Cricetulus griseus: one gene and its partners. The protein of the gene in region 2 interacts with the protein of the main gene of each other region in a biochemical or structural test. Links are inferred from orthologs where the notes say so. Each region holds a gene or a part of one and is shown on either strand. Other genes may lie near its edges. The genes, in order: Tbc1d10a, Slc9a3r2, Pdgfrb, Pth1r, Sgk1 and Slc9a3.

Region 1 (4,236 bases), on a different chromosome or scaffold from region 2:
AGACAACCTTTGTCCCAGGGTGTCTGAAATGGACCTTTAATCTGGAGACAGTTCCCATCATCTCCATTGCAGGCCATTTGTGCTAATGTTTCACTTCACTTCACTAGCACAGGGACTCCTAGCCCTCAACCACGAGACTAGGCTCAGGGCGGTCACCCTGAAACTTCCCACAACTTCCCTTCTTATGGCCTTGGGCAGGGACTTACTTTTGACTTTTTTAGAACCACAGTATAAACCAAACCAGGAAGATCCAAGCTTTCTGATACCAGAGATCTTGCTAACTGACAAGCTGAGGAAAATGAGGCAGAGAGACACAAGTAGATCTGGAATCTCATTCAGCCTTGGCCTCAGAGACACAGAAGATGTAGAGGGCATCTGCAAAGCCACATCCCAGGTTTGTAGTTGAAGGGTGGAGAAGATAGACATCTGGCTGCCTGGTTGGGGATGAGAGCCAAAGGGAGGTGCTCCCATTGGGCGACTCTTCCCACAAATACCAAAGGTACGCCCTCATTTTTCTCTTCATTTCTCAGACTTTTAGAAGGAGAAAGTAAACTATTTCTTGGACTATTACTTGTGCCAGGCATGGTGCTGGGTGATTTCATGTATCAGATTCTCACTTTTTTTTTCAATAGCATTGGATATAGGCATTAATTTTGCCCTTGAATAATCAGGCTAGGGAATTCAAAATCTGTACAAGGTCACACAGCCAACAAGTATGACCCTTAAGTCTGGTCCTTCCTCACTTTATCACATCAACCTGCATCCTGAAATCTGGTTAAATGCCCAATAAGCATGCTTTAGAATTTTCCAGCAAATCTGAACTGTTACTGCCAAGACCCCACTAATAAAACTGAGAATCCCTTCCTACTCCTGCAAGACCTCACCCCTCCCAGCCCCTGATCCCTGATGACTGTGTTCAAATTGAAACACACCCTTAAATCCTCTCTACATGAAGCTCATACCAAGGAAACTAGGACAAAGTCAGGGTGAAGGGTGAATATGAGGGGTTCTCCTAGTTTTGGACTAGGCTTAGCCTAATGTGAGCAAGTATTGAAGGGATGGTAGAGACAGATCCAGTGGGTGGGAGGAAGCTCCATCTAGGTTAGAAGCCTGGATTTGTAAAATTTTCCTCCTGAGGAGGAGGCCTGGTGAATAAGACACTCTTGGAGTGTGAGTGTGTGTGAGTGTGTGTGTGTGTGTGTGTGTGTGTGTGTGTGTGGGTGTTATGATATTATGGAACCGACATTTATATGGGACAACTTTATGGAGTGTGTTTCTTAAGATAGTCAAGCACTTCTGTAAGTCCCAAGAATAGCTGGGGACACCTTGGGCAGTCACAACTAGTCAGAGGAGAGGGGGATATATTCTGGTGTAAAGGCTCTCCCGGTGACTGCAAGGCTGCCTCTATAAACTGGGAGGCACACTATGGGAGGGAGGCTTGTCAGTTCTCTGTATGGCACTAAGTCTCATATCACAAGACAACTGAATGAAGTAGGATCTAGAGGCCATCTTTCTGAGGGGACCACTAGCTTGGTGGGTGGGACTCACAAGTCTCTGAGAGGACTGACTTCTGGGGGTTCTGTGGGGCAGAAGGTTGCAGCCCAGCAGGCTCATAGTGGAGGGAAGGTGCTACTCCACTGCCTCATGTTTCTCTAATGGCCAGTGGGGTGCCTGGGTGCTCAATGGTGGGGTGTTACATGAGTGGGGCTCCTGATGTCTCCCTCCTACTCCTGCCCTAGATCTGGATATGGAAGTTAGTATGTATACACACAGCAGCCTGGGAGTCTGCTGGCTGGCTCCTGTGGTGATGAAGCTGATAGTGAGTCCTAGAGGTGAGGCATTGTGGCCCTGTAAACTACTAGGAAGGGGGAGTGTCTGCCCACCTGTTGCCTGTGACAATGGACAAAGCTGCCTTTTGGCAGAAGGTGTGTGGGGGGGGTGGGGGTGCTCTCTGACCTTCCCATGACGGAAAGTAAAGTAACTGTTGGTGACAAGATGGGACTGTCTGGGAGGAAGCTGGCCAGTGTCAATGTGTCTACGTATTTGGACAAGGGTTAGTGTGACCTGGAGTGGGGTGGGGCTGGCTGGGAGTCCTGAAGTCGATCTAAGATTTCCTGAGGTGGTGAGACAAGGATTCTGTGGGGTAGGGGAGAGAGATTGAGAACAGCTAAGGGGAAAAAGTATGGGGCAGCCATCTATGCGCATGTCAGGGGGTGGTAAAGTCAATCAGCCTTAAAGGCAAGTGTGACCTGGTGAGTCTAGGGGCTGGTGTTGGTGGTTATCCCGCAGTCGGGAGGGCAATGTGAGTCCCTCGGAAGGGCAGATCATTCGGTCTGGGGGGGTACCAGCATGGGGACCGGGAGGAAGTGGGGTGGCCTGTCTGCCCGACGTAGGTAGGAAGTAGACTGCCGCTTGGGGCGGGTCTGTGGGGATCGGTCAGTGGAGACACGTTGGTGGGTCAGGCCCACGCCTGCGCTGGTCCCGCGCCCGACCCAGACCCCAGCGCTACTCACGCGCCCTCGGCGCCCTGCGAACCCACGATGAAGCCGAACTTGTCGATGCGGCGCTCGGCAAAACCGTTGGCCTCTGAGTCGGAGCCGAGAGAGCTGAGCTCGTCGGTAGTAGCGGCGTCGGGACCTTGGGCCAGGCTCTCCCGGGTCCCCGACAGGCTCCCGCCCGCTGCGGGCGCGCGCGGCCCATTCTCTTTGCTGCTCTTCGCCATCCCGGCCGCGCCCGCCACCAGAGCGCCAGCGGCCACCTCAGCCGCTTCAGCAGCTCGGCCTCCGCCGACGCTGCCGACGCCCCGCCCACGCGCCGCATCCATTGGCTGCCGCAAAACTGGGGGTGGCTCCCCAGGGAGCTCCCACCACGCGCCCAATGGGTACCGAGGGCCCCGCCCCTTCTTCAGGCTGGCGCCAACTGGACCGACGTGAGGGGGCGGGACAACCGTCACCAGGGACCCGCCTTCCCTGGCTGCCAATCACGAAAACTCACCTGGACTAGCTCTTCAGGCTTTTCCGGGTTGGCCCCGGGCTGGCGTGTCACCTGCTGCGGCTTCGGGTGGGGGGTGGGGGCGAGAAGGCCCAGGGCTTCCCCGGAGGTCCTGCCCGCCTCTGCCTCCCTGGGCCGGATCCTTGCGAAACAGGGTCGTGGGTGGGGCTGTTTCGCCTGTTCATTTTGAACAGTGATGAGATGCAAGTGGGTTTAGGGATATGAATCACCTTGCTGCTCTGCTCATGGGCGTTTAAATTAGCTCATGGAAGACCCTATAAAAATAATACTGAGCCAGGTGTGGTGGCGCACGCCTTTAACGTCAGCACTCGGAAGGCAGAGGCAAATGGATCTCTTGAGTTCGAGGACAGCATGATCTACAAAGTGAGTTCTATCCAGAACTGTTACACAGAGAATCCGTTTCAAAACACGGAAACAAACAAAACCTGACCTGAGCTCTACTTTCCTTTGTAATCTTTTTCCTTCCCAACACCTTTTTGGTGAGGGTTGATTTGTATTGTTTTGTGGCCGAGTTTTTAGTCCAGGGTGCTTCCCAGTCTTCCAAATGCTGGGATTACAGTTGTGGACCACCATGCCTGGCTCTCCAGTGGTTTTACTGAGATACAATTAACATACCACAATTTATGTTTAAAGTGTATACTTCCTAGGTTTGAATTCCATCATCCTGTCCACCCACCCACGCATAGATAAAAATTAATGCAACCCTGTAATCTCAGCACTCAGTAGGCCAAAACAGATTATGAGTTTCTGGGCCAACTGGGCTACAAACAATGGCCCTATATCAAATAGTACAATACTATGGTTCTTTAGCATCCTTACTGAGGCAAGCAAACATTACAATCCAATTTTTGAAAAGTTTTATCACCCAAAGAAACTCCTATTCAGTAACAGCAACCACTATTCTACTTTGTGCCTACAAATTTTGCTTTTTCTAGACATTTCAGTTATCTGTGGTTACCAATCGTTTTGTGTGTCCAGTTTTTTGTTTGAGAGGGTCTTATCTTGCTATGTGGTACAGGCTGACCTTAAACTTTTTTTTATTGCTTCTAAGATTTATCTACATTTGAGCACTTACTATTGCTTTATTCTTTTTATGGCTGAATTAAATTTCATTGTGTTGACATACCACATTTATACACTATTCATCAGTGAAAGTTATTTGAATTATTTTTCTTTTTCTGTTAGGAATAATGCTAGTTCAGATAACAGTATTTCACTTTTCTT
Region 2 (3,954 bases):
AGTCGTGCTTTGGCTCCCAGGGGTTGTGGGCTGGTGGAAGCCCTCGATGGGCCATCTCCTCAGTGCAGGTCAGTTGCCGCCGGCAGAGTTCCTCATCTGTCTCCTTGTCCACCACAAGCAGCTGAGTGTGCCCCTCCACAGCCTTGATCCTCTGTACCACCTGGAATGGGTGGGTAGCAGGACTAGATCAGCAGCCAACACGCTGGGCAACACATGGATAGGGCACCACTTCGAAAGGGCGCCACTCTTGGCAAAGCACGACTCACAGACAGCAGGCAGGGGTTGGCCTGCCAGGGGTGGGCAGCTGGACTGAGAGGCCTGCGAGCTCCACCCCCCACCCCCAGTTTCCAGTAGCTCCCTCCCTCTTCTCCCTGAGCTAGGGCCCAGGCTGCAAGTACTTCAGGATCCTCTTGTGGCATTGCACCAAGCTCAGGTAAGGACAGGAAGGAGATGCCAGGAGCAGCCAGATGGAAGAGTCAGAAACGATTGAGTTGAGCTTCAGGATTTCAGTCTAGTCTATGCATGTGTGTGTGCATGCTTATCTGTATGTGTGTGCTTTTGTGTGTGTGTGTGTGTCTGTATGTGCATCTATTTTAAAGTCTGTCTTTCCGCCTAGGTGTAGGAGAGGGCTACATGGCCCCAATGTGAGTATTTGGGTTTATTTCTTTCTCTGAGATGCAGTGTGAATCTAACACCCAGAAATCTCTAGAACTCCAATTTGCCTCCAGACCAGGACTAGAAACCCATTCTTGCTGCACCTGCAAAGGGGTGAAGAACTAGAGATTCTACCTAAGGTGCCAGAAATATCAGGTAAGCAGGATCCCACTCCAGCAGGTAAGGCGAACAGTAGCAGATACAACAGTGTAAGAGGTGTGGCTTGACAGCCATCTGTGTATCTGGATGGGTGCCTGTGAAGTGTGGAGAGCATGTGGGCTACCATGGATCATGCAGGATGTTAGTTTGAGTTCAAAGGGAGACATGCCCACCGGACATCTGAAGGGCAGGAAGCATTAACAACTGCACCAAGGCCTGCGGCTGAAGAGACGGAATCCCCATCATTACTTCACTTAGTACATGCTATCCTATCACAGATAGGAAGGTCTGACCCACAGCCACCTTCACCTGGCCCCTCCATGACCATCCTCTCTCCCTGTGACCAATAGAACAGGATCCCAGCACCCTGACACCTTTTGGCATGGGAACGGAGCCAGTCAGTAAAATAGGAGTCATGGTTTTACCTCCTATCTTCCTGAGCAGGAGAAAGGATCGAATGTGGCTCTGCGTGAAAGTCTGTAGGGACTAGCACCCCAGAAACCTGCGATAAACAGGTGGATTCCAGTAACTGCTAGAGGCAGATGACACCAACCCTGCAGGTCTCTACCTTGCCTTGTGGGCCAACCTTTGGGCTCCATCCCAAACTCTTCATCACACAACCAAATCCAGTGGTCACTGTAGGTAGAAAGCAGGTTCCTGAGGGAGACAGGAATTCCCTCATGGCCCAGTGAAGTACCACCCTGCCTTCTCCAGGCTCCAAGACTAACCACACAGGTAGGTCATGGACATGCTGGTACCAGGGATCCAGGCAGAAATGGTGGAAGAAGTCTGGGCCCTAGCCAAGGTCTGAGGTGTGTCTACCCCTCAGCAGGATACAGACACCCAGAGGTAAAACCTGAGGAGAGAACAGCCTTCCTCTGGCTACAGAAGGCAAGAGCTGAACAGTGACCTATACAGGGAGGGCCAGGCAGCCTCTCAGGAGGAGGCTGTTTCTGACACCAAGGAAGTATACTGCCATGGTGCTGACTGCCAGACCCAGACATAAGGGCCCATGAGAGAAGTACACCAGTATATCCAATCATGCAGACAGACAGATGGACGGACACACACATACACACACACACACAGCTGGCATACATGTTTGATGTATCCACCCAACCCTAGACACACATTCCAGCACTGACACTGAATGCTTTCATCCTGGAACAGTTGGGTAGTGTGTTCATATGGATGACCCCAGAGAGACCTGCAAGCACTCACACATTGACAGAAAAGCATCTGTACCACAAGGCCACAAGGTGCCTTAGCCACCTCCTCCCCCTCCATGGCACACAGAGGCCAAAACTAGCAGAAGCAGCCAGGGCCCTGGCCAGAGTAGCCGCAGTGCGGCCCCTCCCTACCAGGATGTCCTCCCTCCCCCGCTAGTGCAGGACTGAGCTTCCTCACCAGGAGGCCAGCTGGCCGGCCACGTCCCACACCTCAACACCGAACCCAGGCAGGCCCCTGTGCGACCCTGGCCGGGTCCCACCATGTGGCACGCAGAAGTGGGGGTTGTTGGCATCTTGGCCAGCGCTGTAGGGACGCGCCCCCAGGAGGGTGCCGGGGGGCGGGGCGCAGCGCAGGGACCCACCTGGTGATGCGTCTCGCCCTCTACGTTGACGCCGTTGACCTCAACCAGGCGGTCCCCGGCGCGCAGCGCGGCCGCCTCGGCTGGGGAGCCTGGCTCCACGCGCCGGATGAACTGGCCACGGCGGCCCTTCTCGCCATGCAGGTGGAAGCCGTAGCCTTGCTCGCCGCGCACCAGGCGACACAGGCGGGGCCGCAGCGACTCCTGCGCGGCCATGGCACCCGCTGCCCCCTGGCTGGCCGCGACTGGCCACGGCTCACACCCCCGCAGGCTGGAGCGCGGAGGCGGCGGAGGCGCGGGCGGGAGAGCAGGCAGCGGCCTCTGTGGCTCCCGCTCAGCTCGCGTCGCCTCGGGCTCCGGCTTCGGCTCTGGCCCTGGCCCCTGCTCCTGCTCCTGCTGCAGCGCGCCGCCCCCGCGCCCGCCCCTTCCCCGCCCTCCTGGCTGCCCCCGCCCTAGCCCAAGCCCCGCTAGCTAGGCCCCTGCCTGGGAGCCCAGACCATGGAGCGAAGATTGCAGGGTCACAACCCCGAGCCCTGGGACTCCTATGTCATCCCATTTTGGCCACCCTCCGAAGCACCTTCGCCCTCTGTTCCAGGAACCACTCATAGACACCTGCATACCCTACATTCCCTACATTGAAGAGGTTCCTGAAATAGGGAGCTTAGAGAAAGGACCCCTACACAGAGACCAGAGGGCAAGAACAGGGGCCGCTGCTCTCCCTCCTCGGAATACACCTCTACGCACCGCACCGGGATTGCTCTGGCCGCTCCCTCTTTGCCCTCTGAATTTAGATCCCCAACACAGAGTGCAACAGGCAAAATACAAATTTAAAGAGACATGCCAGTGACTAGGTGACCCCCTGCCCCTCCCAGGAAGTGTTTGTTCACTAAACATCCTGAACCCATAGTCCCTGCTTTTCGGGAACATGAGTTTATCTGGCAGAGATGCAAGGGTATTTGCTGCCTTCCTCTTGACCTGGTATGATCTCTGCTAAGGATGAACTTTGGCTCCTGAGCTCTAGGTGGTGACCAGCTGTCCCATATTAAACCCCACAGGTCTCCCATCCTCTATCCCCCATAAACTCTTACTTTTACACTTGTGTAAGTTCTCACCTGCGGGACAGCAGTCCCTCAGAGAATCACTTATGCATATTCCTATACAGTTACCCTCAGAACAACCCCGGAGGAAAGAGGCCATTTTACAGATCAGGAAACCGAGGCCTGGCAAAGGGAGGTTCTGAACCTTTTTTGGAGCCTAGTACTGTGAGACTGCACTTTGACCTGCAAGTATATTCTCAGGCACATATGGCAGCTGAGATCCAGGCTCACCTACAGTCTGCTTCTCCCCAGCCCACTGCTCCTCACTTACCTGGTCCCCCTGGATCAGGTATAGCCAGTTCATACAATTCCCCATGTGGATAGGAGATGCAGCCCTAGTTCAGTGTTTGCCTCTCCCTCTCCTCTTTCCGGAGCCCTTAGCTGGAGCTCTCCACCTCCACCCAAGCACCAGGACCGCCTCTGAGCAAAATCATAGGCAGCAGCCCCTTGGGTACC
Region 3 (3,500 bases), on a different chromosome or scaffold from region 2:
CCTAGGACATCAGTTGCTGCGGCTGTTTTCAGACTCTTGGATTCTGGTCTACATAAAGCAGGTAAACGTGACTGTCAGCACAATTTGCCAGTTACATTTGAGTTCAACGCACTTAAAGCCATCCAACAGATGAAAACAACACTTTTGAAATATGCTCATTGCAGACACGGACAACAGTCTGTGTGCAATGTACTTCTGTATTTAGACCAATTACACAATACCGAGGAAAATCCCAGATCTCACAACAGACAGCTGCAAATGGCAATAACTTCACTATTATTACTACGTCGGCAGCCCAATGGGTAACCAAAACCTCAAATAAACACAGTTGGGCAGTGCGGCTTCCAATACCCATGTGAACAAAACCTGGCTCCTGGTTAGCTCGCTGATGGGCTCAGCTGTCTCTGAGTTGTAGAAGCTGTTACTTTCTCACGGTTTTCAAAGAGTATTGTGAAAATACAAAAATGGAGGTTGGAGAGGCAGCCACCGGTTAAGAGTACTTGTTGCTCTCACGGAAGATGCTGGTTCCATACCTAGCACCTTCACGATGGCTCACAACCATTTGTAACTCCAGTTCCAGAGGATCTGATGCCCTCTTCTGACCTCCTCGGGCACCAGGCACGCACGCACACACATACACATACACACACACACACACACACACATACACACACACACACACACACACACAGGCAAATACCCACTCACATAAAATTTAAGAACCTAAAGAAAAAAAATATGTCTAGAGAGAATTGGGTTTGGAAGCTGCTGGAACTAGTGGCCCGAGGAATCTCTCTGCCACGAAGGTATCATGATTCTGAGCTTCTAAAACTGAGCCCGTCTGGGATGGCGAAGTAAAAGTGCTGGGCAGCAGATGTGTGGACACTCCAGAAAGGGTGTCCTTTGTTGGTGGACTGAGTGAGAACAGAAAAGAAGAGCTCTAGAGTCCCCTGGGGCATAGTTTGTGTACCTCCTTTGGTACAGGCTCCCAGCAGGTTGACAACGTTCAGGTGGGGTCCCAGGTGACTCATGATCTTCAACTCTGACATGAGGGCTTGCTTCTCACTGCTTCGGGCTGTCGCTGAGGAGGGAGAGGGTCTCAGCCTGAGTGGGCCACTGAGGCAGTATAGAGGCCCTACCAGGGCCTACTCTGGCTCCTCTGTCCCTCCCTCTTGTGGGACTAGTGTCCTAGAGTGGTGAAGACCTCATTGGAGCGGGGAGAAGGTGGGAGGAGGGGAGAGAAGGAGGAGGAATCTGAAGAGGTCACAGTGAGGAAGGGGCCTTTCTGTCCCACAAATTCAGGACCAGGCCCTTCAGAAGAAAGCAGATGTACAGGGAAGGGTGAGGCAGAGTGGGGCCCTGGGTGTGAGGAAGGGGTGGGCTGGCTCACATTTCAAGACTCACATTTCAGCATCTTGACGGCTACTTTCATGGTGGCCTGTGAGTGGCTCAGGCCATGAGCCGTGGCCTCCACCACCTGTCCGAAGGCCCCGGAGCCTAGAGTGCGTCCTAGGATGAACAGAAACCCTTAGCTCCCGGGAACTAGAAGCCTCGCCTCATCTTCCCACTCAGAATGGAGGACTATTCTCTCAGGTCATAGTCCACATCCCCCCTACCACCCCACTGTGCTCCCCCTCAGGAAGCTCCCATCCTTTGAGTCTCATCTAGCTCCTGCCTGCTGTCTGCCTTCCTGGAGTCCCTGGAAGACCTCTTGTCTCCTCAGGGAATCACAACTCCTCCACACCTGCCTCAGACTCCCCAGACTATCTCCAGTACTTCCTCTTTGGCCTGGAGGGATCCCATAGATCAGTCTTGGGTTCCTACGGCTTCCATGCTATCAGGGATCATCTTGTCTTCACCATATAGAAAGGATGCTGAAAGCCAGTGAAGGCAAGATATCAGCTCTGGCTGGGACTCAGCTAGTAGCAACCATGCTGGGAACAGATCTCAGGGTCCTCACTGGCACCGAAGACCTCTTAGGACTGACCGAGCACAAGCTGGTCCCGTGGCAGCTCCCAGGTTGAGTCATAAGGCAACTGCACAGGGTCCACGTAGATGTACTCATGACCATCAGAACTCACAGACTCAATCACCTTCCATCGGATCTCATAGCGTGGTTTCTGCAGGACAAGACCATGACCTCAGAGGCAGCTGGCACTAAGGGGCCTCAGCAGGTGGAAGGTGTGGCTGAGAAACTCTGAGGACAAAGCCTCGGGAGAACAGCTGTCAGGGTGGTCCTCACTCACTGGAACTGCTTCATCAGCTTCTCTCTGGCCCCAGTTACTCCTCAGATGGGAAGGGCAGGTTACCCAGGAAATGACAACGTACGGTAGGAAAGATGTCAAATGTGGTGGCCCCTCCCCATGTCGAGTCTGACTCTGTGGGGTCTCAAAGGGAGGTGGCCTTTGGATGTGGAAATCTTAGGATGCAGGAGTCACAGGACTGGAATCTTATAATGACAGGATGAAGGGGTGGGCACTAAAGTCCCAATTCAGAAATTGTAAGCATTTGAAGCTACAGAGTGGGAAAATGTCAGAATAGAACATTGAAACTTTAGATTTGTGGGGTCAGATTGCGTTCCAGTGACTCATGGGAGTCTGTGGATAAGAGCTGGAAGAATCATGGGGCCAGGATAGTCCACCCACAAAGTACCATTTGTCTCACGACTGGGTTGAACAGGAAGGACCTAGGCAGAGGAAAGAACAGGGGCCAGGAGTCCTGGACTACTGGCACCAGGCCCAGGTCAGCCAAGCCTGCTGTGGATGGAGGGAGATGGGGACCCAGTGTTGCTCTAAGTCAGCTCCCAAGTGAGCTCCACGTCGGGCCCTTCAGATATGCCAGATTGTGTGCTCTTCAGTGGAGACCACGAGGAAATATGGGTGCTACTTTGCACCTATAGGCTACAGGTGCTTACCTTCTGCCACAGCATGATAAGGATGATGAGAGAGATGACGGTGAGGACCACCAAGGCCAGGATGGCTGAGATCACCACCACTTTGAAGGGCAGGGCTGAACACAGAGCAAAGAACAGCCATAAGCAAACAGTGACTGGCAGCTGCTCTCCCCATCTCATTGTGGGCATCACAGATCCATTGGACTTGTTCCGCCTACACATAAGCCCTTATTGCCTAGATAGCTGGCCTCAGGGCCCACACTCTGGCCTTACCGGCAAGCCCCAGAGCCTCTCAATGACTCCCTGCTCAGATCTCAGCTGGGCTCAGGCTGGCCTCTGCATCATCCTGCCAGGCTATGAAAACCCTCTTCTTGTTCCTGAGCATTGCCCGTGCCTCTCACAGCATTCAGCACCCTGAGGACCAGGCCATGCCCTCCTCTCTTCCAAGCCCTGTTGGGCTGTTATGCCTGGGTCATAGATTTAAGTGCCATGTCTAACAAAATGGCCGAGGCACTCACTGGGTGGCTGCCCAAAGGAGCTGACTCTGATCTTCAGTGGCCTAATGAATCCACATCAGAAAGGCTTCTGTTCCTCCAGCCTGACCTTG
Region 4 (4,048 bases), on a different chromosome or scaffold from region 2:
TTTTAAAAGCAAGCACCTTGAACTGGCAAGATGACTTAGCAGGTAAAGTGCTGAAACCTAAGTTCAATACCTGGAATCTACACAGTGGAAGGAGAGAACTGACTCCAGCAAGCACTTGTAAACACGCACACACACGCACGCACGCACGCACACGCGCGCGCGCGCGCGCGCACACACACTCTAAATGTTAAAAAATTCTGAGCTGCCCCCCTGGGCTGGTTGGAAGAGGTTGCCTGCACAACCTGCCCAAGAGACTACAGTTCTCTGTGGAGCCCTCCTATCCAAGGGTCATACCCCACACCCAGGCCTGCTTCCCTGCTGACCGTCACATTCATGTGAGCTGAGGGTTCTCTAGGGTGTTCTTAGGGTAAGAAATCGCAAAGGATAAGAGCCTCCTTTTGCCTGTTCATCTGCTGTGAGCCTATCCCCTCCTTTAAACTTCACTCCTTCAATGCTCATCTCTGGTCTACTCTTCTTTGTGGGGCACAGATGAACCAGCCCAGTCCAGCTGTGGTCATTGTTCTCCCAGTGGGACGCTCTTTGGGACCTCAACCAAGGTCACCAGAGAAGTGAGCCTGGCTTGGATCTAGCTGAGTAGGTAAGTCTGTAGGTTTGGTGACAGCTGAGGTGGATGGGCTTTGTCCACACCTGTACACATCTGGACACAGAAGCAGCTCCCAGGCTTAGAGGAGAGAATGGGCAGGCTGCCAGGTGTTTGCTGACTCCAGCTAAGCCCAGGGATCCCACAGAGTGGTGGGTGGGTGGGTTGGCCAAACCTGTCCCCTGGACTACACCCCTTAGACCTGAAGCAGGAGATGGTCCAGTGCACTGATATGTCCCAGCAAGGACCCTGCAGAGCCACACAGGCATCTGCCCTTCTGCTTTCAGTTAGAGCTTTGAGGAGTTCTAGGGGCTCTGTACCGCCACACACAGTGAGGCACAGGGCCTGGAACCTGGTTAACATAAGATAGATAATGCTCACAGGGGACTGGATGAGTTAATAAAAAATAGGGAAAATACCTTTCTCAGAGGGTGGCTGGTAGGATTAAACTAGCTGATCTGCGCAAAGTGTATAGAACAATGGACTGGCAAACAAAAAACACAAAAGCATTTGTTGAGTACAAGTAAAGAAAGGCCTGTGTGCACACACTCACACTCATATATGCGCACGCGTACATACGCAAACAACTGTGCTTTTGCCCTCAGAGTCCTGTGCAGATCCACAGTTCCAGGCACATATGGACTTGAATACCCACAATCCCACAGACCGACCCAGATGCCCACAAAGCCCTACTCGGATGGCCATACAGGCACACACTCAGGACACCTTATCCATCAGCCAGTCTACACCATGCACACGTATGTGTACACACACAGAAGTCACCAAGGGAAATTCAGCAAACAGCTCTGCTGCCCGTGCTTGGAGCATCTTCCGGAACAGCAAAGCTGGGCCCTCTGAACTTGTTTCCCTGTGTACAAGTTCCTTTCTGGGGTAGTCTTTGGTTTTGGAAATCCATTACTGGACTAGAATTGGGAGGGTATGGGCCCTGATAATAGAGTGCCGGGGACCACAGAAGGAGAACATCAAATACAAGGATGTTAGGAAACGTCTCTCATGCTCTCTTCACAGATGGGCAACTGAGGTGTGGGGAAAGGCAGTCCAAGGTCACTAAGCTGTAGGCTGAGCTGGAGGGGTCCCAGAGCTCTTGTGTCCTCGGATTCAAGGCTCTGTTCTGTGGAGGAAGCTGCTTGCCCTGTCTTTCTAGAGCTGGATCAGGGTTGGGGTAAGGGGGCAACAAGACCTTAAAGTCAGGCACAAAAGCTGATTCAGGAATGGGCTGGATACTTTGGTAGGACTGCTGCGAATATGAGAGGATGGAAAATCTCCCCTCTCAGAGAAATGGCTCCCAGACCCTAGCCCAAGACGGGTCATGATCTCCCTCAGTGTCTCCAGCCCTCATCTATTTGTCTTTGCTGTTCTGAGTCTGTCCCTGCTGGAGTCGAGAGCTCTCATCCTTACCCTTTGTCTGTCTCTCTCTAGCCCTCTTTTCTATCTCTTGGTCTCCATTCCGAGGCCATGCACAGTATCCCCAAAGATCAGCCCACTCTCCAGCACGTATCTCACAGGTGTACTGGGGGGGAGGTCTTTCAGGGGACTTCCATACCACACCACACCCACCTCCCTGGGCAAACGACTTCTACTTGGGGTAAAGCTGTCCCATTAGCGCATAATCTGTCTATTTGTGGGATCCCCAGAGTTGGAGGGGGTTCTAAACCCTATCCTCAGTCTATGTGATTTTTCTGACTTCTTGCACACAGCTTTGAGCACGGGGTGCAAACAAAACTTGCGAAAGCAGAGGCCCCCAACGCAGTCTGTGGGACTCCACACCCAGAGCCCTCTGGATCACACTGTCACCATCGAAAGAGATACATACGACCAGAGCCGTGTGCTCACAGAAGCACGGCGTAGGGAAACTCCAACCACAGATTTCCAGACCCAGGACCCCAAGCCAAGTCTTCAGAAGCGGGGAAACTTCAGACATCTGGAACCTACGGTAAGACACCCCAACGAGAGCAGGCACCAGGATTCCTGGTTCAGAGCAGGGGCAGCATCCCAAAGTTCAGACTATTAGGAGAACCCACGACTTTGCGCCTACACTCTCCCCAGGGATCCCAGAGCAACTCCAGGATTCCTGTGTTTGAGTGTAGACCGAGAGGGACTTACCAGCGCATATGCGGAGCTGAGCACTGGGCAGCAGAGCAGGAGCGCCAGGCCGGGTGCGATCCGGGCGGCCCCCATCGCCACCGCCTAGGGCCGCGTCCCTCGGGGCAGCCGCCGCCGGCCCTGGTGATGGTTGGAAGGTGCAGAGCTGTGTCAGGCCGGGCCGCCCCGCCCACACCCCGTCCTAGGGGACCCCGGCGTCCGGGCGGCCCGAGGCCCCGGAGCCCGGTGCGGGGCCCATACGCCGAGGGCGAGCGAGAGAACCAACCGGCGCAATGGAGAGAGGGAGGGCGGAGGGAGGGAGGCAGCCTAAGGCCGGGCGGGCGGCGGGCGGGCGCCGAGCGCTGCTGAGCGGCCTGTCTGCCTCGGAGCGGAGAAATCACATCCATATGGCTGGGCCCCCCGCCCCCGGCCCGCCCCCCGCTCCCCTCCCGCGCCGCCTTTTCTTTCTTTCTCTCTGTCTTTTTCCCCCCTCTTTTGGGGAACTGGGAGCCGTGGCTTCGCTCCACGCCCAGTGGGAGGGGCGGGGGAGGGGTCGGGGTCGCGGTCTGCGGGGGGCGACCAGGCTGTTATTTTTAGCTCCGCGGCAGTGGGCAACAGGGGAGCTGGGGCGGGGCGGGGCAGGGGGCGCGTTCTGAGTTGCGCGGGGCGTGCAACTCCGGGATGCCATCCCGACTTTTGCAACGGCGCTGAGCCCTTCGGTGTTCCTGTCCCCAGCTCGGGGCTCCCCGGCGGCACTGCGGCCCGGCTCCCCAGCCCGGTCTGGACCCCCCCAGGCCCTGGGCAGGCACCTCCTGCCTGCGCCCCAAGTCCCGTCCTCCGAACCCGCGCCGCGTGCGCCCGAGCGGCACGAGCGCTTGCTCTGCGGCCCCGACGTGGGGGCAGCCTGTCTGCTTGTCCGTCCGTCTCTGGCTAGCGCCCCCCGCCCCCGACACCCCCCTCCTCCCCGGCCTTGGCCTCTGCCGTTCCAGCCGCCCCAAGCTCGGTTTCGGTCACTCCCTCGCTTCCCCCTCCCCTCCTCTACGAAAACATTTGCGAGTTTCCAAAAAAGCCACCGACTGAGCGGCCGCGGGCTCCGAGGAGGCGCCGCAGACTGACACCGAGACCGAGCGGCCGGGCCGGGCCCGCCCTGGCCGGGCCCCGAGTCCCTGCGGCCCGTCCGGCGCCCCCACGCGCCCGACCCCCCCAAACCCCGACTTACTCGGAGCACGCCGCCGCGGCCCCCCGCCTGGCCATGAATGTCGGGGCCCCCCGACAGCCCCCAAGCCAGCGCCCGCGCCCCGGGGGGACTTCATGGACTCTCGGGATCCCCCCTGGCTGCCCGGC
Region 5 (4,199 bases), on a different chromosome or scaffold from region 2:
CCTCTTGGCTGGCTCACATGCTAGGGAAGTTTTAGAAGTGACCGAATTGTACATAATCACATATTTTAAGACTCCAAAGGCTCCGCCAGGCCTCCCTCCTTCCCAGCCAGGTTGCTTTGCCTCCGACTTACCTATAAACTATGTTCAAGGAGTGCAGATAGCCCAAGGCACTTGCTATTTCAGCAGCATAGAAGCGAGCCCGTGGTTCTAGGAAGCAGCGTTCCCTCTGGAGATGGTAGAACAGCTGCAAGAGACAAAACAAAGCAAGGCTGAGTGGGGCCATTTAATCAAGTCTGACACATAAGCCTGAAGAGAAAGACTGCAGAAAGTGGCTTGAAATAGATTAATAATAAATTGATAAGTTCAAGAAAATGTTGATTCCTTGAACCAAGCAAGCTGAGCAGAGAAACCCCACCACCTCTAGAGGTCTATTCCCCCAGCTCACCTCTCCACCGTTAATGTAGTCAAGGACAAAGTACAGTTTGTCGGCAGTCTGGAAAGAGAAGTGGAGGCCCACCAGGAAAGGGTGCTTCACATTCTTCAGCAGAACGTTCCGCTCTGACATGATATGCTTCTCCTAGGAAAAAGGTGACATTCAGTACCAAATTCAGACTTCAGCCTGGCACCAAATAACAGGGTAAAGATAATCACTAAGGCCATCAGGTGTCACTCCTACCTCCTTCTTTTTCAGGATAGCCTTCTTCTGTAAAACTTTGACCGCATAGAATGCTTCTTCTGCCTTGTGTCTGGCTAGAAGAACCTGAAATGTCAATCAAACAAGTCAAATTTTTTTTCTATCCTCATCCAGGGAGAATGTGCAAATGAATGCACAAAAGAGCATAGTTTTAAAGCTGTCATATTTGAAAATTACCTTTCCAAAACTGCCCTTTCCAATCACTTTCAAGAAATGGAAGTCAGATGGTTTAGCATGAGGATTGGAGGACGGACCAAGGTTGATTTGTTGAGAAGGACTTGGCTAGAAAACAAAAACATCGCCCTTTAATATCTATGATAATATCTGTGAGTACGTAAAAGCTGCACACAGCCAACTGGTAGCAGATACAAGTTTATGAAATATGCCTTTCAAAACATTCCAGTGACTCAATACTTAAACACTTATGCCACTTGTTATGTTTTGAAGACATTCCTACCTTCACAATAAATAATTTTTTCAAATGATGTCTTAACTGACCACTACAGATTCATTTACCATTTCCCTCCAGAAAAGAGTACTTACCGGAGGAGAGGGGTTGGCGTTCATAAGCTCGGGCTCCTGAGGTTGGGAGATTTTCAAAATGGACTGAACTTCAGGGCTGCGGGGATTAAAGGACCGGTTTAGAAACTCTTAACTCGCCACCAGAGGGCACACCGACATAAGCTCAATTTCTGACTCAACCGTTCACCGTTTAAACCGAAAACATCTGAATGAATTACTTACAAAAACGTAGGTTAAGAAAATAACCCGGTTAAATATACAAATTGAGGTTGGTCCATCGAGAGAGGACGTGAAATTTGATAAACATGCACGCGAATTAATCTTACATCTCCAGGGCAGGTTCGACCCATAAATTAATATTAATGTTTAGAATTATTTCAGATAAGCTAAATGCTCAAGACCAAGAGATCTCTACCCCAGAGAAAATACTTCGGCTTCCCCCGATGAACAAAGTGGTAATAGTATGTCTTAGCGGCTGCTAAACTTAAACGATTCTTTTTATTTTCTTTAATTACCCCAAACTTACTGTTTGCATGCATAGGAGTTGTTGGCGATCTTCTGAATAAAGTCGTTCAGGCCCATCCTTCTCTGCTTCATGAAAGCTGTGAATTAAAAAGAGAGGAAAAAGAAAAGGTTTAGGCGGCTCCGTAACGTCCGACGCCACACGCTAATCTGATCCCGAACCTTCAAAACCCTCCAGCCTTTCACGTCGTCTCTCCTATTCAAGTCCGGTGCTTTTCCAGCACTCACCGATGAGAATCGCTACCATTCCCCTCATTCTGGAGTAAGTGAGGGTGCTTCGAGCAGCCTCGGTTTTCACAGTCATCGCCCCGAAAAGACCAGAGACAAGACGGAGCAGTGAAACCGGCTTAGCCAACAGCGCACCCCGGCCGCGCGGCAGCCTTTATATGCTCTGCGCCGCCGCGGGGGCGGGGCCGGCGGAACAATGATGAGGAAGCGGAGCTCCGGGCTCCGCCCACCTCGAGGCCCCGCCCCCGGCCGCCACTGCGACTGCTGACCGGGACCCGGGCGGATGCGGGTGGCTGGCCGCCTGATCCTGGGTGAGCTGTGCTGACCGCCCCGGCAGGGCCGAGGGTTCAAGGGCTGTGCGAGCAGGACCCGGGCTCAGGGGGACACTCGGCCTCCGTCCGCCCGGGCAGAAGGAGGGGACTGGAGGGGTGGAGAGCCCCGGTGATTTTCCATTTCCTCTCCTGCACTGCCCGAGCGGAGCGCCGCTCAGCACCGACCTCTCCCCTCCTCGCTCTCCCGACCCGGTGCCCGGCTCGCATCCGCCGGGTCCTGTGCGGCGCCGTCCTCCCGTCTCCATCCGACCTCCACCCACCCATACCCCTCCGGAGCCGAGTCCCCGCGGGCCGGGCGGCGGTGCTTACCCAGTCCGCTCAGCAGGACCGACTCGCTCCTTTTCTGCGCCTCCGCCCGCTTTTTGTGGCGGGGCCGGAGCAGGGACTCGAGCCGAGCCCGCGCTAGCGCACCCTGCATCTCCCCCATGGCCGCGGACTGAGGGGCGCGCAGCGGGCGACAACGACCGGCGAACACTGACGTTTCCTTGAAGGAGCCGCCGTGACTCAGGCCGGCAAGATTTCCTGCCCCAGTCCCAAAACAAACAAATGTCCCTTGTGCACGGCCGAGTCGCTTCCGAAAACGCCTTTTTTGTGCTTTTGGCCAAAACCAAGCAAGGCTGAAAAATCCCAGAACTTGGAAGAGGAGGAAGGAAGGAAGGAAAGAGCGGGGGGAGGGGGGTCAGGAATGTGTAGGGGAGGGGGCGGAAATAAGTCTCTGCACTACAAGAAAAAAAAGTACAATCTTCATTTCACTTTTTTTTTCAACTAATCTCCGAGAACATTCTGTCCGTTCCGCATATAATTTTTGTGCCTTGCAAATTTTAATCCTAGCCATGCCAAGAACACGTGAGGAGGTGTTAAGTTAGGGGGAGCAGGGGCTTCGCTCTGGGAGCCGACCTGGAGTGACCCTTGCGACGTCGATTCCCCTGCCAGGGGACCTGCTGCTCTCTCACAAGAAAATGCAAAATTGCGTTGCATCGCCTTAAGCTCCGTTCGTTATTCCGCATCTTCCCTACTCTCCTTTGAGTTACCTCACAGCGGGCCCAAGTAGTCTTAATTTTCTAACCTTGCTTTTTCTTGCAAGTTCACATATAACTGAAACTCGTTAACTCTTTAAAGGTTAAGAGACTCGTTTCAGAAAACTAGGAACAGAGGAAAGCTGCAGGAGGTAGCCTGAGCTGGCTAGAGGAGTGAGGTACCTTGCAGTAACCCCGCCGCTGGGGGATGCCTGGCGCTATAGCCTGACCGCCAACGCGGCGACCCGCGCCAGCGCTGGCTAGGAAGCCGGGAGCACCGGTCTGGACCAGGGGCGGGAACGTGGCTACAAGTAAGCAAGACTCTCAGAGCCAGTACCTGGCGCTGGCTGGTGCTGTCTGCGGTGACTGCCCTGCCATGACCCCTCGCTGAGAAGGGCCCAACATTTTAGAGCTGACACACTCCAAAATACCAGTTGTCAAGCCAGGAAAAGCATGCGAAGCTCTTTTCCCTCCGTATTGGGCAGGAGTTTGTTTTACAGCCACAGCCACCTCACATGCCCTAATGTGATCTCTAGTCTCAGCTGCTGCTTGATTTCCTCACTTTCAGACAGCCAGAGACCCGTTGAAGGGGACGCACATCCCCTCTTTGAAGACAAGATTTTGCTTTGTGGACACTCTTCAAAACGCACTTAGGGTGCCTGAAATTGGCACTCCAACCTAAAACAAGGTGTATAGGCAACTCCAAATCACAGCAGTTAGCCCATGCTGCTTTGTCCGTGCTTGAATTCTGCACAAACTGTGAATTTGTTATTGCCTGTGAGTGCCTCCAAAAACCACGTGGCAGCAGTCATTTATTTAGACTAGTCCTGCTGCACCCCATCCTGTACCCCCTCCTTCCTGGTTCCTTCCCCTCTGAAAAAAAAA
Region 6 (3,500 bases), on a different chromosome or scaffold from region 2:
ATTGGTCTGTTTCTTAGGAGCAGTAGCAAGCGTAGGTCCAAAATTATAGACCACTGGGGGACATGGATATGGGGATTTCAACTGGGCAGCATTACCTCCAAAGGCATGAAATGGGTGGGCCTAAGATTGTAAAAGAGAGAAATTGGATGAATCTGAGTTAGGGAGACAGATAAAGGCCAGAGCCTATTCCCCCCAACTCATACCCCCAGGCCGCTGTGCCAGGGGACAGATGAAGGAAACACCCTGCAGGATGCTGGACATCCCTGGGTTGCAAACATGGCTGTAAAGGGAGACCATGTATAGATAATGAACCTCTATCTAGCTTATCTATCTGAGGCATATTGGCAATGCCCACTTGTCAAGTGAAGTGTTCTACAACTACCCCAGGGACCCCCACCATCACTCACCACAGTCACTGCATCATTCAGCAGTGACTCTCCAAAAACAATTATGAAAAGAACTTCATTGACATGGACTTCCTCAAACACAGCCAGCACAGCCACAGGGTCCACAGCAGCAATGAGGCTACCAAAAAGCAGGAAATCCAGGAGTCCAATCTTCAGCTCACCTGCAAGAGATGTGGACCATGGGACAAGGGCTAGACACTTGGCTCCCTTTGTCCAAATCCCACATCTATCAGGTCCCTAGGAGATCAGAGACATCAGGATTAAAAGCTAGACACAACTCTTCCCAGGGCTACCCAGTGACAAAGAGAATCTCAGAGACTAGAGCTCGCAGCCAGACACCCCAGAATGTGTAAAGCTACAAGTTCCCCATGAAGTGCTTCACTCTCTTTTTTGAGCTGGGGAAGAACTTGCCATCCTTTGGACAAAGGAATGAACCTTGGGAAGTAAGTACCCCCAGATATCTAGTGTGCCCCAGAAAAAGAGTAGAAGTCAAAGAACAGAGTGGTCTCTGTAGTGACTTGAGCCCCATATGTCTGTGATTAATAAATTATGCTGCCTCTAACTAAGACCAGAGTCTTCCTGAGTTTCCATTCAGAAAAGGACCACACACTCAACTGCCACGCTATATATGCCCCGCCCAGCTTTCCAGAGCAAACCAGCTTCTGGTCCAGCCTTGAAATGCCTTAACAGAACCAGCCTCTTGTTCTAGAATCTTGACAGAACCAGAATACACTCCAAAAACAAGCTGGATCCCAGCAGATGTACAGTCCACTGAACCAGGACTGCCCCCCCCAACTTGGAAAGTGCGCCCACATTTGCCTTAGGCCTAGAACTGATGACCTGCAGGATAGCTGGCCTAGCCTGACTCTCCCAGTAAGGGTGAGTGAACCCTGGCCTTGAGCTGCTGACTTCAGGGACTCACCACTGCCTAGGCAATCCTGGGTAAACCATCAGCCAGAGTCACAGAGAAAAGGGAGCTCATGGGACAAGTACGATCTTTCTGGTCTGCTTTGACCAGCAAGGTTCCAAAGGTGGACACAGGATGCCAGCCTGTGTCTATCATGGGAGAGTCTGCAGGCAGTGATACACAACAATAATGGTTATTAAAAGACACTGTGGTGTAACAATTCTTCATGGCTATGGCATGGTAGGAAAATGGGCCTGGGTGTCCCCAGAGATTAAAATACTCTAGATTTGGGCAAATGTAAGCACATTTGCCAAGTCTCAGCTAGCTTAAAGACCTGTGCTTACACCATAAGTCAGTTTGTTAGCGGATTCTCCATGCACCCTAAAAACAGCTCCAGGAACATCACATGCTGGGATCTTATGGGTGACAAGGCTGTAAAGTGAGGACCAGCATGACCCTTGAAGGGTTATGGGTATTAGATTCCAGAAGTCCCCACTCTGTATCCCAAGGCGTCTCTCCAGGGCCAGAGGGAGACAGCCATCTTAGATGTGTCCCATTGCCTTATGGCATCACCAGTATGACCAGTAGTACCAACTCCAGAGCAGGATGCCTAGAGTCTTATTAGCCAGGCAGGTCCTTACCATTGTGGTCTCTAATGATACTGGACAGCAGGGACCCCAGGAACTCCCTAAAATGATAAGGTCCCAAGCAATTGATAGTTCCTGGGTTTACTGTTCCCTGTTTCTCCTTGGTCTCTAGGATTTCAAGGGTCTCATTCACTCAGTGAATGTGCCAAAGGGAAAGTCCTGACTCTGAGTCCTCCTGTGAACACCTACTCATGTCTGCTCAGACATCACCTGCTGTCTCCCAGCTAGACAAAGATTTAGCACAGAGGGTGGGGTGTTCCTGGGAGGTAACCAAGGCTAAGTGAAGTAATCACTAGCAGATTTGAGCAGAAACAGCACCAAACCACTCAAGACTTTGGCATGCTCAACTCTGTAATTCACTCATGAGTCTAGGAGCAGTCCACTTTCATCTCTTTCTCCCATGGGGGTTGAACAGCTGGCTCACACCACTCTGCCAACTATGTCAGGAGCAAGAGAGAATAGCTACCTATGCACACTTACCCATCCTGCTGGTCTGTGCGGTCACAAATCTGTTCTGAACACGACACAAAAGCCTTAGCTTGCAGATGTTCCAAGGAAGCTACTTATAGACTGAACCTTCTTACAAATACCAGGCTATTTACTTAAGTAGTCCCCAAAGACACTGCCTGTCACCCTTAGCCCCAACCCTTCTATGTCTGTGATCTACACCTTTACTTTGGCTCACCCAGGGGACAATATATAGACTTACCCATTAGGCCACTGAGGAAGACACCATAGAGGGACAATCCTGTGGTGGCTGCATTCCATATGGTGCCAATGACAGCATATAGCAGAATGGTGCCCAGGTTACCAAAGAAGAGTCGATTGGGCATGAAGTATCCAGCATCCAACACAATGGGGGGTAGCAGGTAGAAGAAGAAGAGCGTGGGTGTGAGTGTGAAGGAGGCAATGTGGTCAGCTGCCCAGACGATGCCACCCAGCACCAGGCCCAGAACGATGAGCAGAGCGCTCTCAGGGACGACACTGGTGACCTTGTGGGACAGATGAAAGACTGTGGGAAGGAAAGAGGATCAGGGAGATCAGGGCCTATACGGGACTACAGTGGCAAAGTGAAGATCTGGAGACAAGGTTCCCCAGAGGAATGGGAGGAGTCACAACAGAAGCCACCCCCCACCCCCACCCCCACCCGTGTGCACCCATGAGATCAGGGTAGTCACTGGTTTCTTGTAAGCTTGAATATCAAGAAGCCAACTAGTTTCCGCCTGGGGTTTTGATGACACTTCCTGCAGAAGTTGCTATCAATGGTTCTCAATCTGTGTGTCACAACCCCCCAAACCATTGGAAAACACAGATATCTATATTACAGTTCATAGCAGTCTCAAAATTATAGTTATGAGGTAGCAACAACAATAATTTCATGGTTGGGGGTCACTACAACATGAGGAACTGTATTAAAGGCTCACAGCCTTAGGAAGGCTGGGGACCACTGTATTAGATGGATCTCTTCTTGGGTACCTGGGATAATGTAAAGCTCTTCTGTCTCCCCAGCTACCCACAGCTGATGGGGGATGAGAGAGC

What was found.
Region 1: the proteins of Slc9a3r2 (region 2) and Tbc1d10a form a complex in vitro, tested with the Homo sapiens proteins (2 studies listed by IntAct, with this or other methods). The link is inferred for Cricetulus griseus from reciprocal best matches to the Homo sapiens genes NHERF2 and TBC1D10A.
Region 3: the proteins of Slc9a3r2 (region 2) and Pdgfrb form a complex in vitro, tested with the Homo sapiens proteins (2 studies listed by BioGRID and IntAct, with this or other methods). The link is inferred for Cricetulus griseus from reciprocal best matches to the Homo sapiens genes NHERF2 and PDGFRB.
Region 4: the proteins of Slc9a3r2 (region 2) and Pth1r interact in a test that uses a peptide from one of them, tested with the Homo sapiens proteins (2 studies listed by BioGRID and IntAct, with this or other methods). The link is inferred for Cricetulus griseus from reciprocal best matches to the Homo sapiens genes NHERF2 and PTH1R.
Region 5: the proteins of Slc9a3r2 (region 2) and Sgk1 form a complex in vitro, tested with the Homo sapiens proteins (2 studies listed by BioGRID, with this or other methods). The link is inferred for Cricetulus griseus from reciprocal best matches to the Homo sapiens genes NHERF2 and SGK1.
Region 6: the proteins of Slc9a3r2 (region 2) and Slc9a3 form a complex in vitro, tested with the Homo sapiens proteins (2 studies listed by BioGRID and IntAct, with this or other methods). The link is inferred for Cricetulus griseus from reciprocal best matches to the Homo sapiens genes NHERF2 and SLC9A3.

The regions. Positions count from the first base shown.
Region 1 is NW_023276807.1:100,701,843-100,706,078, forward strand, and holds the start of Tbc1d10a (TBC1 domain family member 10A), read right to left. Parts: upstream 2,801-4,236; 5' UTR 2,723-2,800; coding exon 2,514-2,722; intron 1-2,513.
Region 2 is NC_048600.1:44,234,673-44,238,626, forward strand, and holds the start of Slc9a3r2 (Na(+)/H(+) exchange regulatory cofactor NHE-RF2), read right to left. Parts: upstream 2,801-3,954; 5' UTR 2,618-2,800; coding exon 2,405-2,617; intron 161-2,404; coding exon 1-160.
Region 3 is NC_048595.1:178,029,831-178,033,330, forward strand, and holds part of Pdgfrb (platelet-derived growth factor receptor beta), read right to left. Parts: intron 3,010-3,500; coding exon 2,915-3,009; intron 2,121-2,914; coding exon 1,988-2,120; intron 1,510-1,987; coding exon 1,405-1,509; intron 1,082-1,404; coding exon 971-1,081; intron 1-970. UniProt on the Homo sapiens protein: Tyrosine-protein kinase that acts as a cell-surface receptor for homodimeric PDGFB and PDGFD and for heterodimers formed by PDGFA and PDGFB, and plays an essential role in the regulation of embryonic development, cell proliferation, survival, differentiation, chemotaxis and migration.
Region 4 is NC_048597.1:218,233,628-218,237,675, forward strand, and holds the start of Pth1r (parathyroid hormone/parathyroid hormone-related peptide receptor), read right to left. Parts: upstream 2,801-4,048; coding exon 2,726-2,800; intron 2,556-2,725; exon of another isoform or gene 2,326-2,555; intron 1-2,325.
Region 5 is NC_048595.1:267,814,325-267,818,523, forward strand, and holds the start of Sgk1 (serine/threonine-protein kinase Sgk1), read right to left. Parts: upstream 2,801-4,199; 5' UTR 2,726-2,800; coding exon 2,608-2,725; intron 2,118-2,607; exon of another isoform or gene 2,043-2,117; coding exon of another isoform or gene 1,967-2,042; intron 1,819-1,966; coding exon 1,743-1,818; intron 1,314-1,742; coding exon 1,238-1,313; intron 977-1,237; coding exon 872-976; intron 761-871; coding exon 677-760; intron 578-676; coding exon 446-577; intron 245-445; coding exon 132-244; intron 1-131. UniProt on the Homo sapiens protein: Serine/threonine-protein kinase which is involved in the regulation of a wide variety of ion channels, membrane transporters, cellular enzymes, transcription factors, neuronal excitability, cell growth, proliferation, survival, migration and apoptosis.
Region 6 is NC_048595.1:368,807,008-368,810,507, reverse strand, and holds part of Slc9a3 (sodium/hydrogen exchanger 3), read right to left. Parts: intron 2,974-3,500; coding exon 2,671-2,973; intron 569-2,670; coding exon 408-568; intron 1-407. UniProt on the Homo sapiens protein: Plasma membrane Na(+)/H(+) antiporter. Exchanges intracellular H(+) ions for extracellular Na(+) in 1:1 stoichiometry, playing a key role in salt and fluid absorption and pH homeostasis.